Arabidopsis thaliana: one gene and its partner. The protein of the gene in region 1 interacts with the protein of each later gene in a pairwise test. Each region holds a gene or a part of one and is shown on either strand. Other genes may lie near its edges.

What was found. Proteins that work in one complex are often made in the same cells at the same time.
Region 2: the proteins of SDG40 (region 1) and SNZ interact in a two-hybrid assay, tested with the Arabidopsis thaliana proteins (one large-scale study listed by BioGRID).

Annotation. Positions count from the first base shown.
Region 1 is NC_003076.8:5,663,060-5,671,174, reverse strand, and holds SDG40 (SET domain group 40), read right to left. Parts: upstream 4,353-8,115; 5' UTR 4,322-4,352; coding exon 4,179-4,321; exon of another isoform or gene 4,100-4,178; coding exon 3,949-4,099; intron 3,861-3,948; coding exon 3,729-3,860; intron 3,586-3,728; coding exon 3,445-3,585; intron 3,338-3,444; coding exon 3,089-3,337; intron 2,986-3,088; coding exon 2,326-2,985; 3' UTR 2,268-2,325; downstream 1-2,267. Other genes in the region: AT5G17250 (Alkaline-phosphatase-like family protein), read left to right, coding at 74-506, 584-675, 770-1,310, 1,417-1,597, 1,677-1,833, 1,923-2,006, 2,087-2,182.
Region 2 is NC_003071.7:16,386,411-16,392,935, reverse strand, and holds SNZ (Integrase-type DNA-binding superfamily protein), read left to right. Parts: upstream 1-1,759; 5' UTR 1,760-2,004; coding exon 2,005-2,381; intron 2,382-2,463; coding exon 2,464-2,489; intron 2,490-2,631; coding exon 2,632-2,662; intron 2,663-2,798; coding exon 2,799-2,886; intron 2,887-2,981; coding exon 2,982-3,109; coding exon of another isoform or gene 3,110-3,170; exon of another isoform or gene 3,171-3,241; coding exon 3,242-3,321; intron 3,322-3,678; coding exon 3,679-3,926; 3' UTR 3,927-4,245; downstream 4,246-6,525. Other genes in the region: AT2G39260 (regulator of nonsense transcripts UPF2), read left to right, coding at 151-648; AT2G39240 (RNA polymerase I specific transcription initiation factor RRN3 protein), read left to right, coding at 5,109-5,195, 5,296-5,418, 5,501-5,572, 5,661-5,732, 5,845-6,057, 6,146-6,265, 6,350-6,520.

The DNA of each region.
Region 1 (8,115 bases):
AAAAACTTGAAAGAATATCTTGTCACGATGTTCTGTTTTCGGACTCTCAGTTTCCAATTCTATTTATATGCAGGTGAAAAGATATATAGATGTGTATTCTAATTCATCGGTTGTTGGTTTCTCTTCCGATGATATGTCAAGGATATCAGATCTCTATTCTGCAGCAGAACAGAATTGGTCCAATTCTGTCAAACACATATTGATGGATAGAAATGGAGATGACGGCAGTACAGATATATCTGCCCTTCTTAAAGAGCAAATTGCTGAATATTTGAATTTCTTCTCAAGCGTTGTTGAACTTGCCCGGTCTAAGTGGACAGAGTTCAATCTGAATCTAATGATTACTGGGTTTGGGATATTGGTTATATCACTCATCCTTCAGTTTCTTGCTGTTTTCCATGGCGACAAATCTTATGCAGTGGGTTCTTGGTTATCCACTGGTGCAGCTTTCACTCTCTTTATAGTAACGATTCGAGCTTGCAGCTTTCTTTCAAATAGCTATATCTGTAAGTTTCAAGTAATCTTAGATTAAGCGTTTTGCTCTCTTTTTCTTTATGCTAATAGAGAATTTTTTTGTCAATAGTGGAAGAAGGAAAAGTTGCAAACTTTCTCCTGGCAACAACTGGACTTATCAAGCTGCGGTACTCTGTTATGAGAAAAACAATGCGGAAAGAAGTCAGTATTATCTATGACATGTCTTTGTTGCTTCTGGTTATTACCTTAAAATCTGCTTGTTGGATTGTAATATTTTCAATTATCTTGTCTGCAGGCTTTTATGTTTCTTGCTATGGTTTTTGTTCTCAGAGTTTCTATAGATATTGGGCTAACAAAGCAAGCTGCAACTTCTCAGTTTATGAGTAGCTCACCATCGTGGATGCTAGGGATAGCTCCAGACCATCCAGCATTGACATATGCGATTGAAATTGCACCAATTCTGTCAGTGGTTATACTCATTTGCGTGCTCTACGTAGCCATTGCGAAAGCACCCAATGAGGGGGTGTGGAAGTATGTTACTGTTGGTAGTATGGTAAGCTACTTTTTCATAGCATTGCTTTGGGCTTCGGAGAGCAAGATATTTGGTTTGGATCAGTTGCTTCAAGTGACGGGAGGAAGAAACCGCATTCCTCAAACGGTTTATGTAATTGGATTGGTGCAGCTCTGCCTTTTAGCTTCTGCACGTATGTTTTGCACAGAAAAAGACAAGAATTGGGCCATCAGAACTGTCGCTCTTGTATCTGCTTGTAGTTCGCCAATAATTCTATTGTCGGGGAAGCAAGGATCAATGCTTGCATTAGTATATTTAGTGGCTGGTAACTTTTTTCTTCTCACTTGATGATTCTCAAAGCAAACAAGCTTTATAATAAAGATGGCAACTCAGGTCATTAAGGTTTAACTGATGCAGTTAAATGTATGTAGGCTATTGTATAATGAGGCTGGAGGGTGTAGAGAGAAGAACCAAATCAGATGGACAGAGCAAATTCTCAAAACTAAATCCTCTCTGTGTGGTGCAATGGAGTCTTCTTTCTATATGCATGTTCTTCGCCAGCGGGCATTGGTGCGCCTTTGATGGCCTTCGTTATGGAGCTGCATTTGTGGGGTAGGTCCAAGTTTCATAAACTCAGCCTACAATGGAGTCTTAATTCAATATGGTGGTTTTGTTGACATACTTTCTTCAGGTTTGATGAGTTTGTGCTTATACGACAAGCCATTCTTTTGACAATCGAGACATTTGGATTCTCGATCATCCTTTCTGTATTTGGACTTCCTCTCCTCATACCTTTTCACTCTCAAACTCCTCAGGCTCATGGCGAAAAGCGCCACCAGTTGTTTCAAGTAAGACATCTTCATATTGATTCGTTTTTGGTTTATTCTAGTAGATTCAGTGACAATGTGTTAAATCATAACTTTTTTAACCGCATCAGATGTATATGCTCTTTGGAGTTATATCTGCAACCACAGTCACAGCTACAATTCTCTGCGTCACCATCCAGAGAAGACATCTGATGGTAAACACAGCAAGATTCACTCAAGCCAAAGGTTCTTGTTTTGTATCTGTGACTAAAACATTGCTCTCATGTTCTTGCAGGTTTGGGGTTTGTTTGCTCCAAAGTTCGTCTTTGACGTTGTTGATCTCATCCTTACTGATCTCCTCATCTGTTTGGCTTCAGCTTACTATCTTTGATTCATACTTGCAATTGATGAAAGATGTAACAGTAGATTTTAGCAGGTAATTGTTTTTTTTACTTCTCTATGAATGTAAAAAAGAATGATCAGAAATCCTTTTTTGAGCATTGATAGATTAAGAAGGATCGGTTTCGATTCAAGTTACAAATCTCTAAGCCTATCTTGGGTACCTAAGAGATTATTCATTTTCTCATTACAATAAGAGATGCAATCTGCTAGAGTTCTCTTGTAGCTTAGCCTCCACTGCACAGACCATCTCCATTTGCTCAGCATCCTGCTAGTTTTCCTGGAAAATTCTATAGGTTTCCCAGATAATACAGTGACATCCCACAAACAATTTGCATCAAGAAAAGCACGTACTTCGCTGCCAAAAGCTTCTGTTTCTTTCTGCTCCAAACGCAATTCTGGATCTTGGAGTTTGTCAATGTTATGAAGAAGCACAGTGTCCTCTGTGACAGAAGTTGGCAGATCCCTTAAAACACTTCCACATTTCTCTGACATCCACTTCATGACAAGAATCTCATTCTTCACAGATATCTGAGATCCAGCGTAAACAAGGCGCATAACTGACTTGTCACGCTGGCTCTGTGGGATCAGCCACAGTCTCAACGTGGATATCAGCGCAAAAGACAGCTTACCGTCTTGATGAATGTATAAAGAATCTTTAGGCCATGAAGAAGCTAGAGAAAATAGGCTGGTTTCTAGAGGAATGAAGACCTTGTCATTTGAGTTCTCTTCTAACATAAACCCATAGTGCTCAAGAAGCTCTAGATTCGTGTAAGTCCCATAACATAGAAGAACCTACACCCACAAATACAATCCTCACCATTCAGTATATTTTCTACGTTGTGCTTCCGCTTCATTAGTTTCGCAGCTGTAACAAAAGCTAGTTGAGGACTTGTACCTGTTCTCCTAGCTGATAATTCCTTCTTGCATAAAGACAGTAAGCATTGACATCTTCCTCGAATCCACCATCTGTGAGCCTTTCAGAGTGTGTCTCAACAACAAGTCCTGCTTCCTCTACATTATTAGCACTCTCAGGACCTTGTGGGGTATTCGAATAATCTCCAGGAGCATCGTAGTTGAACAAGTCCCCTACAGGACACAAACACCCAGCACTATCCCATGGTACATGCAGTGTTCGTGAAGATATCTTCAAACAGAAGTAAAGTTTGTAGCTGTAAGTTTACACAAACCTTTCTAATCAACCATCATCGATTTCTCGAGCAACTTTCGTGTGATAAAGTGAAGTGTTCTTACCGTTGCAGAAGCCCATAGCCATGCTTGGAAACTCCGAAACTTAGGCTTCAGCTCTAACTCCTTCATTAACGAACCAGCTTCTTTCCACTCAGACTGACACTTGGCTGTGGCTTTTTCTGTAGCCCAAACAGCATCTTCAACCTAAGGACATGAAAAAAATCCCATCTTTTAGACTTGAAATCAACAGAAAAGAAAGGAACATGATCTCAATCCAATAACATGAGATCTAACCTATTCAAAAATCAAAATAAAACACAAAAGTGTAGTAGTAGTAAACACAGAACTTGTAAAGCTTGCTTCTCGAAATTCCCAAATGTAGCCAAGAGATCATAGTCACGAGGTATATGGAACAAGTATGGATACCAAAAAGACTTCTTCTCCTTGCTCATTTCATACAATAAGCATACACTCAGTATCTGCAAATTTCAACAATTCTGAGGTTTTAAGATTTTTCTCAGAAACAAAAACAGAACAGATTCAAATGGTCAGAGAAATAGAGAGCACCTGAGTCGAAGAAAGTGAATTGTGAAGATTAACAGCATCGCTCAATTTTAGATCTTTAGCAATTATGGATTCTGTAGTCATCAAGGCTTTTCTGGGGACTTTCAAAACCAATTCTCCTTTCTTGAGCTCACGAGCAGCTCCCAAACCTCTCCTGATTGCATCAATCGAGCAATGAGAAGACAGATTTTAGGGATTTAGAAATGAAAGAGTTCGAATTCAATTCCACGCACCCGCCGGCGTCAGGGAAGTCGGAGACGGAAAGAGAATGTCCAAGACACGAATCGCGAAATCGAGAAGAATCAATAGAATCTGAAATGCCAATCTCTGCTGCCCATCGCAGGAACGTCTCCATGGTTTGGTGTTCTAAGTCCATGTCGATCTTCTTCTTCTTCCTGGGTTTCTCCTAAAACCCTGATCCTAAAAATTACAAAAATTACAAAAATACCCCAAATGTTTTTGAAACGCAGCGCGTTTCCACACGTGCCGTAGACTATTCGGTTTAATCCGGTTTGGTTCGAATCTGTGTAGATTCTTAAAGGAATATTTTGGTTTTCACTTTTTAGATCCATTTTTGGATTTGGTCCAAAAAGCTCTAATTTTTTAGGTAGGGAATTGTGGACGATATTGAACAAATTCAGACCTCTAATTGATACCAGAATTCACTAGATATACATTTTTTGACGAATCGTAATATATCGAATTCGAGTTTTCATTCATGCATTTATATATAATCAGTGTAATTATAATAAGTATGAATTGATATGTAGTGTAATCAACTAGACAAAAAAACTAAAAAACACTTATGTTCACAATACGATTTTCGGTGGAGAAAACCGGTTACATCAAAACAACTTGAGTGTATATTTACGTAGGCTACACACTAGAAGAGGTAGGTAACAAAACAAATACAAAGAATATGCAGAATAAGAGGAAGGAATATTCAATTTCTCACGGCCTAACAAAGAAAGTAGTACTGGTAGCTTAGCAAATCATGTGGTGTGTTAGAACTGAATTATTACGCTAAAAACCACAAATATCATGTGGTGGATTGACGTTAGAAAATAAAGGTCGAGTATTTCCTATTTTCTTTAGTTTTTGGATTCGTCTTTCTAGTTGTGGATTGTGTGTACATTTTACAATTAAACATAATATTGATTAAAGAAAGAAATTTTGTTTATCAAATCTGAAATAGCTAATTCCCACTAGAAAATTATTCATAATGATTCGGGGACAGAAAAATAACTATCATTTTGTTAAGTGGTTTGGAAACAAGTCAAAACTTATTTATTATCACTTATATTAACTATGACTTTAGAAAACGAAATACATAATTATTTATCTCCCTGTTGAGAGGTTAAAACTACATTATCATTCTCTACTACATGTATGCGCTATCCGTGTATAATGGGGAGTGTAATACGGGTCCATGACACATCCATTTAGTGTTACGTGGCTGACTCTGTACGTAGCCATTACCGAGTTATTATATTTATATATCACAACTTTTTCTAGACCATTTTAGAAACTAGAGTAACTAAAACTCGTCAGCAGAAATATTTTATATACCAAATTTAAAATATTCAGGGAGGCAAAAAACAAAGAGGAAAAAACACTTGCAGCATTAAGTGACACTACGTGTCGCGCCATGTAACCATGTAACCATGTAAATGGTGACTACGGTCCATTTCTTTGGTACTTTTTATAATAAAACCTTTTTTATTCAGTTATTTACATTATTTGATATAGAAAACGATAAAACTCCATCTCAATTTTATGGGCCACGAAAGATGACACAATTTACGAGTACACGTTTCCATTTACATCTATGTCTCCATCACTCGCCGAACAAATTTTAGTACGTGAAATGTTTGACGAATTGCATCGAACCTTAGTGATATTATCGTGAATTTCAGTGGCAAAGATTATAATTAAAAATGAAGATTTGTAATTTGAAATTGTACATAAACATAAAAATTACAACGTGATTTACAACCACTTAAGTTGGTTTAAATTTTCTTTCGTAACCGAAACATCTCTATCATAAAACTAATGCTTGCTATACGACTACGAGGGTTATGAGACAAGTTTCTATGCATGTTACAGATTGAAATCTTTTAAAGAAAAAAAATTCATGTAAATTGTTTTTTTGATTAATTAGGTTCAACCATGTCTCATCTTTATGTTATTCTCATTCTCCATATATAAATATATTATCCATAAGCTTGGCCGGCTCTCCAACCGTTCTATTAACAATAGCACTAAGCAAGAACTTCAATATGACCACTCTCATTTTCCACCTTCGATCAAGCAACAACACAGCTGAGAAAGTAGCCAAGCTAATTATCACTATCTCTAAACGCTTGTGATTCTAGATTGTACACGTTATAAGTACCAGGATCTATGGAATTAAGTTGAGTAAAAACAAAGAGTGATAGTCACTGACTCAAACAAAAACGTCTTGGTCAGTATATATAACTTACTAAAAAAACAATTAAACTTGTTATACCATTTGAAATTTACTACTCATCAATCATCATGTCTGTTAAATTTTCAGTATATTATAAAAACGCATTTCCATTAAATCAAAGTTAATTATGCCAATTTTCAGTATTCTATTGATAACTCGGGCTAATCCACATCGAAGCTCGACCAAGTCCCATGCATATGGTCTAGGTGATCCTCTAGAACTAGGGCGGTTGACATAAATTTCGTACGAAAACAATACTTTTATCATTCAGTACTAAACCAAAAAAAGCGGTTTCTTTACGAGAGAATGTATTTGAAACAAGATACGGAGAAAATACGGACCAGACTAAAAATAACAAAGGATAAAACCAAAATCAAGAAGAAACTTAAAAGACAAAACCTTCTGAGCGCAAGAGAGAGGGCCAAGTTGCGAAGACAGTATGGGACCCAAATACCGACTAAGCGGAAATCTAACTTTTAACTTTTCCTACCAATGAAACATTGACACGTGGAAAAGCAACGTCGCCCACTTTACCCTCCGCACTTTGAAATCTTTGATAAGCTTATCGCTCTCCCATTGGCCGTAGGCTCCACGTGGCATCTCTCTGATCTCTCTTCTGCTAATCCTTTTTTACCCAAACTGGCATGACCCCACCCCTAAACCCCTATTGTCCTTTCTACCAACAATTACTTAATGACTTATATAATATTCTAATTATATTTTAATTATGTAATTAAATAACTATTGATCCCATCTCCATAGTGACATGTCTCACTTTTTCTTCCACAACAAAATGCGTCACTCTTGATTCATCATGTTCGTAGCAAAATCCACGTTATTACAAAAAACGTTATACATTTTGAAAGGTAATCCATAAAATAGTGAGATGGATCAAGTTTTCTACGCAACCCTCGTAGAATTTTAGCAATGATCCAAAGCTACTGTATATATATAGTTACGTTTCGTAACACAACATGTATTTTACCATGATTATGCCTCTTTTTTTTTTCTTTCCACAACATATATGTATTTACATCCTTATTTGGTTTAGGCTGAGTTTGTTAACATAGCATCACCAATAGGGACAATTTTTTTTTTTATTACAATCTAAATATCTAAAATATAAATTCACATGAAATTAATGTTTCTAATAGAGTTCTTCAATCTTCATGTACAATTGCACATTTTTGTGAAATTATTATTACTTTATCATTTTTTCTTTAAAATTAATTCACCGAGTACCGATAAATGTTTATATTGAATACGATTTAGTAAACGACATATATGTTTCGTCACATTTTTATCACTATTTGTAATATATCTGTTAAATTTGATGATGTAGTTTCTGTTTTTGAATTGAAAACTTACAAAGTTTAGAAAAAAGAATGTAAATTAGAAATAAATACACTTTCTGTATTTTTGAATACTATAATAGGCTAAAATCACATCATTTTCTAATGTTGCTTTAAATAATATATATCAAATAAAGGCTTAAATTACATTTATATAAGAAATATTGTAATACAAATATCAATTTAGAGCTATTAATTTACAATTACAACCTGTTGCCCAATTGATGAATAAATCAAACATGTAATTAACCAAACTTTCTAATTGATCAGGAATCAATTTAGCTAAATAATAAGACATAAATTTGGCCAAGAAAAAGAAGAGAAAACATGTTAAATAGGTAATGGGTT
Region 2 (6,525 bases), on another chromosome or scaffold:
TCAGAATCCGTCTTTTTTTGTTTATGTAGATTGATGCATCTATTTTCTCTAATTTAGTTTGGTGGAAAAACCAGTTTACACTGATGCAAGAGGGAAGTTATTTTTCGGAATTTGAACATGATTAAGTACTGATATGTTTTGTGGATGCAGGAGAGCATGGAGCAAAGGAAGCTAGAATTACGAGGTAGACCGGCATTGAACATGACAATACCGATGAGTGTTTTTGAAGGATCTGGAAAAGATCATCATCATTTTGGGCGGGTAGTAGGTGAAAACGGTGAAGAAGTGTTGGATGAAGAGAATGGAGAGCAAAGAGAGGTTCAAGTGAAGGTCCTAGTGAAGAGAGGAAACAAACAACAAACAAGGCAAATGCTAATCCCGAGTGATTGTGCTCTAGTGCAGAGCACAAAACAGAAAGAAGCTGCAGAATTGGAAGAGAAACAAGACATAAAGAGGTTAGTACTCGAGTACAATGAGAGGGATGAAGAGGAAGCAAATGGGTTAGGAACACAGATATTGAATTGGACTTCTGGAGGAAGCAGAGGATCCACTCGAACCGGGGAAGGCAGTGGGAAGAGTGGTGGGTCTCGTCACCGGTTTTATTATCATCAAGGAGGTGGTGGTTCGTATCATGCCCGACGAAAGTAACTTCATCCGGTTTAGGGGGAAAATTTGATAATCTTGCCTGTGTCAAAAGCGGTAATAGTTGGCTTTTTGCTACGGCTGAAAAGGACAATTCACAAGAAATCTCATGAGTTTCTGTGACAAAAGTTGATGTATTCGACTTCACATTCTGTAGTGTTGGTTAAGTAAATCTCTGTGTGTGACCCTTTTTGTCCAGCTTGGTTAAATCTTGCATTTAATGATTATTTAGCATCATTCTCATGTGAAAAAAAAAAAGAAGAAGAAGAAGAAGAAATTACTAAGTAAGGAAAGAGAATGATGACGAGAAGAAAACTTTTTAAGATTTGGTCTTACCATATACGGAAAGGCCAGATTTAGTGTGCAGAGGACGGATTAATAAAGATTCCTTAACAAATCTAGTTTTTGTACTTTCATCAAATCATGAGAAAATGGACGGTTGAGATATGCACACGAACTTATCATCCAACGTTTCTAAATTATTGATATCTAGGTGTCCATATAAACATGTACTTGGTGATTGCTGAATTGTTTATACAAACGAATGACATAATAAGTCACACTCTCTCTTCATTAAGGTTTCTAATTCTACCTCTCTCTCCCCTCCACATACAAAAGTGGTAGTTGGCTTTATTGGACCGACGCTTAGGTCCCCAACACGTTCCATTTCACTCCATTATTGTATTCATTGACATATCTATTCAAAAAGAGATTTTGTATGGTTTTTATTGTGGTGCAGAAAAATTGATACCCGATTTGGTCTACCAAAATAATTTTCCTCATAATGCATTCATGTTCGGGTGTCCCCACTCGTGATATAAATTCATAATTTTCTCAATCTGTAAGTAATATTCGAAAAGAGTAATAGTTTATACAAATTACATTGTGATAGTATTATTAGACTATTAGTAAAGAATATACACACACATATATACTATTCATATTCCCGTATATCAAATTTTCAGTAGTCATATATTCATACGAACGCGTACTTACTATTCAGACTATATATACACGAATCTCCGAATATCTTGAAAACGTATAAGACCGAGCTAGTAATAGATATTGGCTAAGATATATTTTGGGTAAGTCGTTCTTATATTTTTTCGAGATGTTCGGAAATTGGTTTATACACATGTTTAAATATAGGAAAAAGAAAAAAAATAACGCAATCAATAAATTAATAAATAGAGATGTCTGAAAAGTAGCCAAAAACTAATAAATCAGTGTGTAGACAATCGCACTGAACAACACGTCCCACGTTCTTTTTCTTCCCTGTTTTAGATAGACTCTTAGAGTCTCTCTAGAGTCACCGGAACAATCACAAAAGCGACGACATATTACTCATTCCTACAAATACTCATGTTGGACCTCAACCTCGGAATCTTGTCGACACACAACGAAGATGAAGATTGCAAAGTACCAACTTCCATCTTCATTCAAGAAGAAGATTCCATTAATCCCTCAAACGACAACTTGTCTTTGATTACATTTGGAATCCTTAAACGAAACGTCGAAATCCTTCCTCCTCCCCCTCCTCCTCCTCCTCCTCCTCCTCCTTCGGAAAATGAACTCTCCGGCCCCGGAAATGAGTGGTTGGATCTTTCGTCGATGCAAAGAAATAAACAAGAAACGTTGGTGATGAAGAAAAAAAGTCGACGTGGCCCAAGATCAAGAAGCTCTCATTATCGTGGCGTTACCTTTTACCGTCGAACCGGCCGTTGGGAATCTCATATTTGGTATTCATTCATAAACTTTAAGTTATAAAATATATTTTAATTAGTTTTGAGATTAACACTTGGTTTTGGGATTTATGTGTAGGGACTGTGGAAAACAAGTTTATTTGGGTAATTAGATGAGATTTTCTATTTCTCTTACTATTATATTAAGGTTTAAAACCTTCTTGGATAAGAGAATTCTGAAAAGAGTAAACCAAATGATGAAAGATTTTCACTTTTTCAGTTTTGTCTTTTGTTTGGTTAAAAACAGGTGGTTTCGACACAGCCTACACAGCCGCAAGGTGTAAGAAATAGTAACAGATGTTACATGACATAACATTCGTCCTTTCAAAAATTCTTCATTTTTTCTTTTTTGGACATTTTAGTTTATATCTTTAGAGAAATATTAGTTGACTTATATATTCAAATACATATCAGAGCGTACGACCGAGCTGCTATCAGATTCCGGGGACTCCAAGCAGATATCAACTTTATCGTGGATGATTACAAACAAGACATTGAAAAGGTTTTTTTTTTCATATAACTTATTGCTTCCTATAAAGAGACAGAGAAGTTGGACGTTCGAATACTATAATATGGATATTTTGAATGATGTGGTAGATGAAGAATTTAAGCAAAGAAGAGTTTGTGCAATCTCTTAGACGAGCGAGTGCAAGCTTAGCAAGAGGAGGTTCTAAATACAAAAACACCCATATGAGAAATGATCACATCCATCTCTTCCAAAACAGGTTCGATTCGTTACTCTTCTCGCGGGTACAATTTCATTCACTATTAACCGTGACCAGTTGATTCCTATCGCGTATATGATTCACACATATAATGCATACGATTTGTAAAAGTGTTTGTATGAATACTCATAGGGGATTGAATGCAGCAGCAGCAAAATGCAATGAGATAAGAAAGATGGAAGGGGATATTAAGTTGGGTGCCCATAGTAAAGGTACTTTATAAATGTAGGGTCACGGCTGTAAATATACATACTAAATCATTGTTATCATTTAGGTGAAAGCTAAAAACCCTAACCACAACTTCACTTTGACACATGTTGCACACCTTTGATTTGATCAACCAAACCCTAGCTAGCTAGCCTTACCTTTCAGAATCATTCTCGTTCAAAATTCAATGCATATTAGTTTATAGATTTTAATCAATTTTTTTTTTTTTTTTGAAAGATTTAAACTTTAATGCACAACGACAACAGTAACACAAACCACTAAACTATATCTTATTCAACTTGATCAATATTTTAATTTAAGACATTACGACATGATTTACGAAAAGCTTTTAACGTTTTCAGGAAATGAGCACAACGATCTCGAGCTAAGTCTTGGGATATCTTCATCGTCAAAAGTTAGAATTTTGGAACCAGCAGATTATTACATGGGTTTGAATCGATCGGTGACGAGTTTGCATGGGAAGCCGTTGCCGGGATATCTACCGATCACAGAAATTAAACCGTTAAAGACAGTTGTAGCATCATCAGGATTCCCTTTCATTACCATGATCAATCCTTCTTCTTTGTCCTTATCTTGTTTTGATCCATGAGGTGATCACTATTTACTTTTAAAATTTTCCCCTTTTTATTGATAATCTATTGAATGACGGAATGATTATGTGACTTATATCTTTTTATAAACCATATTCTTGTGGAATCAGGAATTTTGTGCCAATAAAAAAAGACAAAGAACCATCATGTACTATGTTGTCAACGATGATAATTCCCAAGTGTGTGAAAGTTATAGTGTAAGTACTAGTGAGTACTCGTGAGGTTAGTAACATAAGACACGTGCATAATTGCAAACAAACAACTTTGCCGAAAATTTGTACAATGGTTAAGAAAAGAAAAGAGAGTATTGAATGATCAAAGAAAAGGAGATGAATGGGACACGTCGTCGTTTGTAATTAAAGTACAATGTCGTATTGGGTCGTATAATATCCGCTTGCTTCACCACATTCACTTATTTCTTATCCCCACTTTTCCAACTTTTCGACCCTTTTTTTTTGGGATTTCAATAAATAAACTAACAAAACAGAAGATAGAGAAAATTTACTATCCTTACATTGCAATTTTATACCTAAATAACCCAAAACAGTGGAAGAGACGAAAAAAAAAGGTGTGAAATCTTGTGGTGTTGCCATTTGCCAATGCTTTTGCTTCGATGTGCCACACTCAATCCAAGCGAGCAAGGGTAATAAGACCTAAAGTGGCCTCGACCTTTGTTTTCTTGGGCCTTAGCCGTAGGCCCAAACTTCTCTCGAGTCGTTCATGGAGATCCATCAGGGACACGTGCCATTAGTCTGTTTAGTTATAAATTTTTATGTATAGTTTGCATTTAGGTTAGTTTGGAATTAGATTAATGGTATAATTAATTTATGTTATATATAATGTTAATTTTTGAGGGCCTCGCGGGATCCATTCGAACTTCCTCTGCCGACAAAAAAGAAAAGAAGAAGACGACGTTTATATGTGTATCTCCCCAGCTAAGTGGAATCAGAGCGTGTAAAAATTATTCATCGGTGCGAGTTCTCTCTAACCTTTGTTTGTTTGTTCATGGTGGGCTCTGGTTTCCTCTTTTAGAAGAAAATTGTTAGGGCGAGAAGAAAAAAATTGAATATAGAATGAATATCTCTTTTTAAGGGTTTATGGTTTTGCTGCTCTAACCTTGGATTTTAGTGTATTGTTTTTGTTCTTCAGTAGTTGAAATTTCGAAGCACTAGCATAAGAGAATGGGAGCAGAAGAAGTGGAGACTGCTGACTTAAGCGACAAAGCTTTGGTGTCTGCCATTAGAGAGGTCCTTGCATCTGCCCAAAGTGTGAGTCTTGCATAAATGTTGCTTCTTCCACATGTTCACATATGTTTCTCTGTGTGTGTGTTCTTTAAAATTAAAAGTATTTGTCTTTTGCTAAATCCAGGGGGATACCGATCAATATAATGAGCTTGTTCAGTTAATGTACATCAAAAAGAAGAAATCTGGTGACGATGCTATGGCACAGCCAGAGGTGCCTGATGATGTCGATGTTGTGGCTCAGCGAGAGGTGTGTCTTATGACAAATCCATTCTTTCTTTTTTTCGGTTGTTGCTAACTAAGACAATCTTCATTTCTCATTCGCTTTGCAGACACTCTTGAAAATTCTATCACACTCTGTTGCTTGCTTAGATGACGTTCACCATAACCACCTTCTTCAACTTGTAACTTTTATTTATCTATCTATCTATTACACACACATACCTTAATTACCTTCCTCTGACTAATTTCATCACATTCTATTGTCTTTAGATTCTTGGAACGAGAATTTGGGATCACAAACCTAATGTAATATATGCATTGCTGGACTTAATCATATCACTGGTATTATAACAGCTCAGCAACTATGTACCTCTCTCATATCATCATCAACCATATATATTATCTGCTTACGGAGCTTAACAGCTTTTGTGCTTTTGTTGTTTTCCATCTCTAGGCCACTACTAGTGGAAAGCATCTGAGCTCTTGTTTAGATACGCTCGTCTCTAATTTACGTTCGCAACCCCGCAAACTCGACAATAAGATGCTGGAAGTTCTTTCCAGGGTGCACGCAGCTCTTCACAAGATTTCTTATTTAGTTCCCCTTGCTCCCTCTATATTACTGCCCATACTCGCCCAGAGTATGCCTAGCGTACACGACAAAGCTCGCGTATGTTTTTTATTCTGTTAAAATCAATGTAACAGCTGTCCCATACATGTGGTTAACGAAATGACAAAACTATTTTATTGTCTTGCAGTTGCAGGTTGTAGTGCCATATGTGAAGAACTTGTTGAAGTTGGAGAACAGCTCAATCATCGGAAAAGTTGTTGGCAAGGATATTCTTATGATGGTGATGGGGAGGTTCCGAGATCTCGATGTAAGTGGACGGAACGAATAATTGTATTTTCCATACAAGTATAGTACTATAGTTAGTTGATGATATGCTTGATCATCTTTGTAGTCGGAGATTGAGTGCGATGATAATCTCCAAAATGACTCCAGTCTAGCAATGTTTGATATGGAACTTGACGTTGCAGTTGAAGGCACTCTAGTTTCTAAATTGTTGGACGATTTAATGGTCGAATCTTTTAATCATCTTAAATCTTGTCAAGATGCTGGTCGTCTGGATGAGGTATG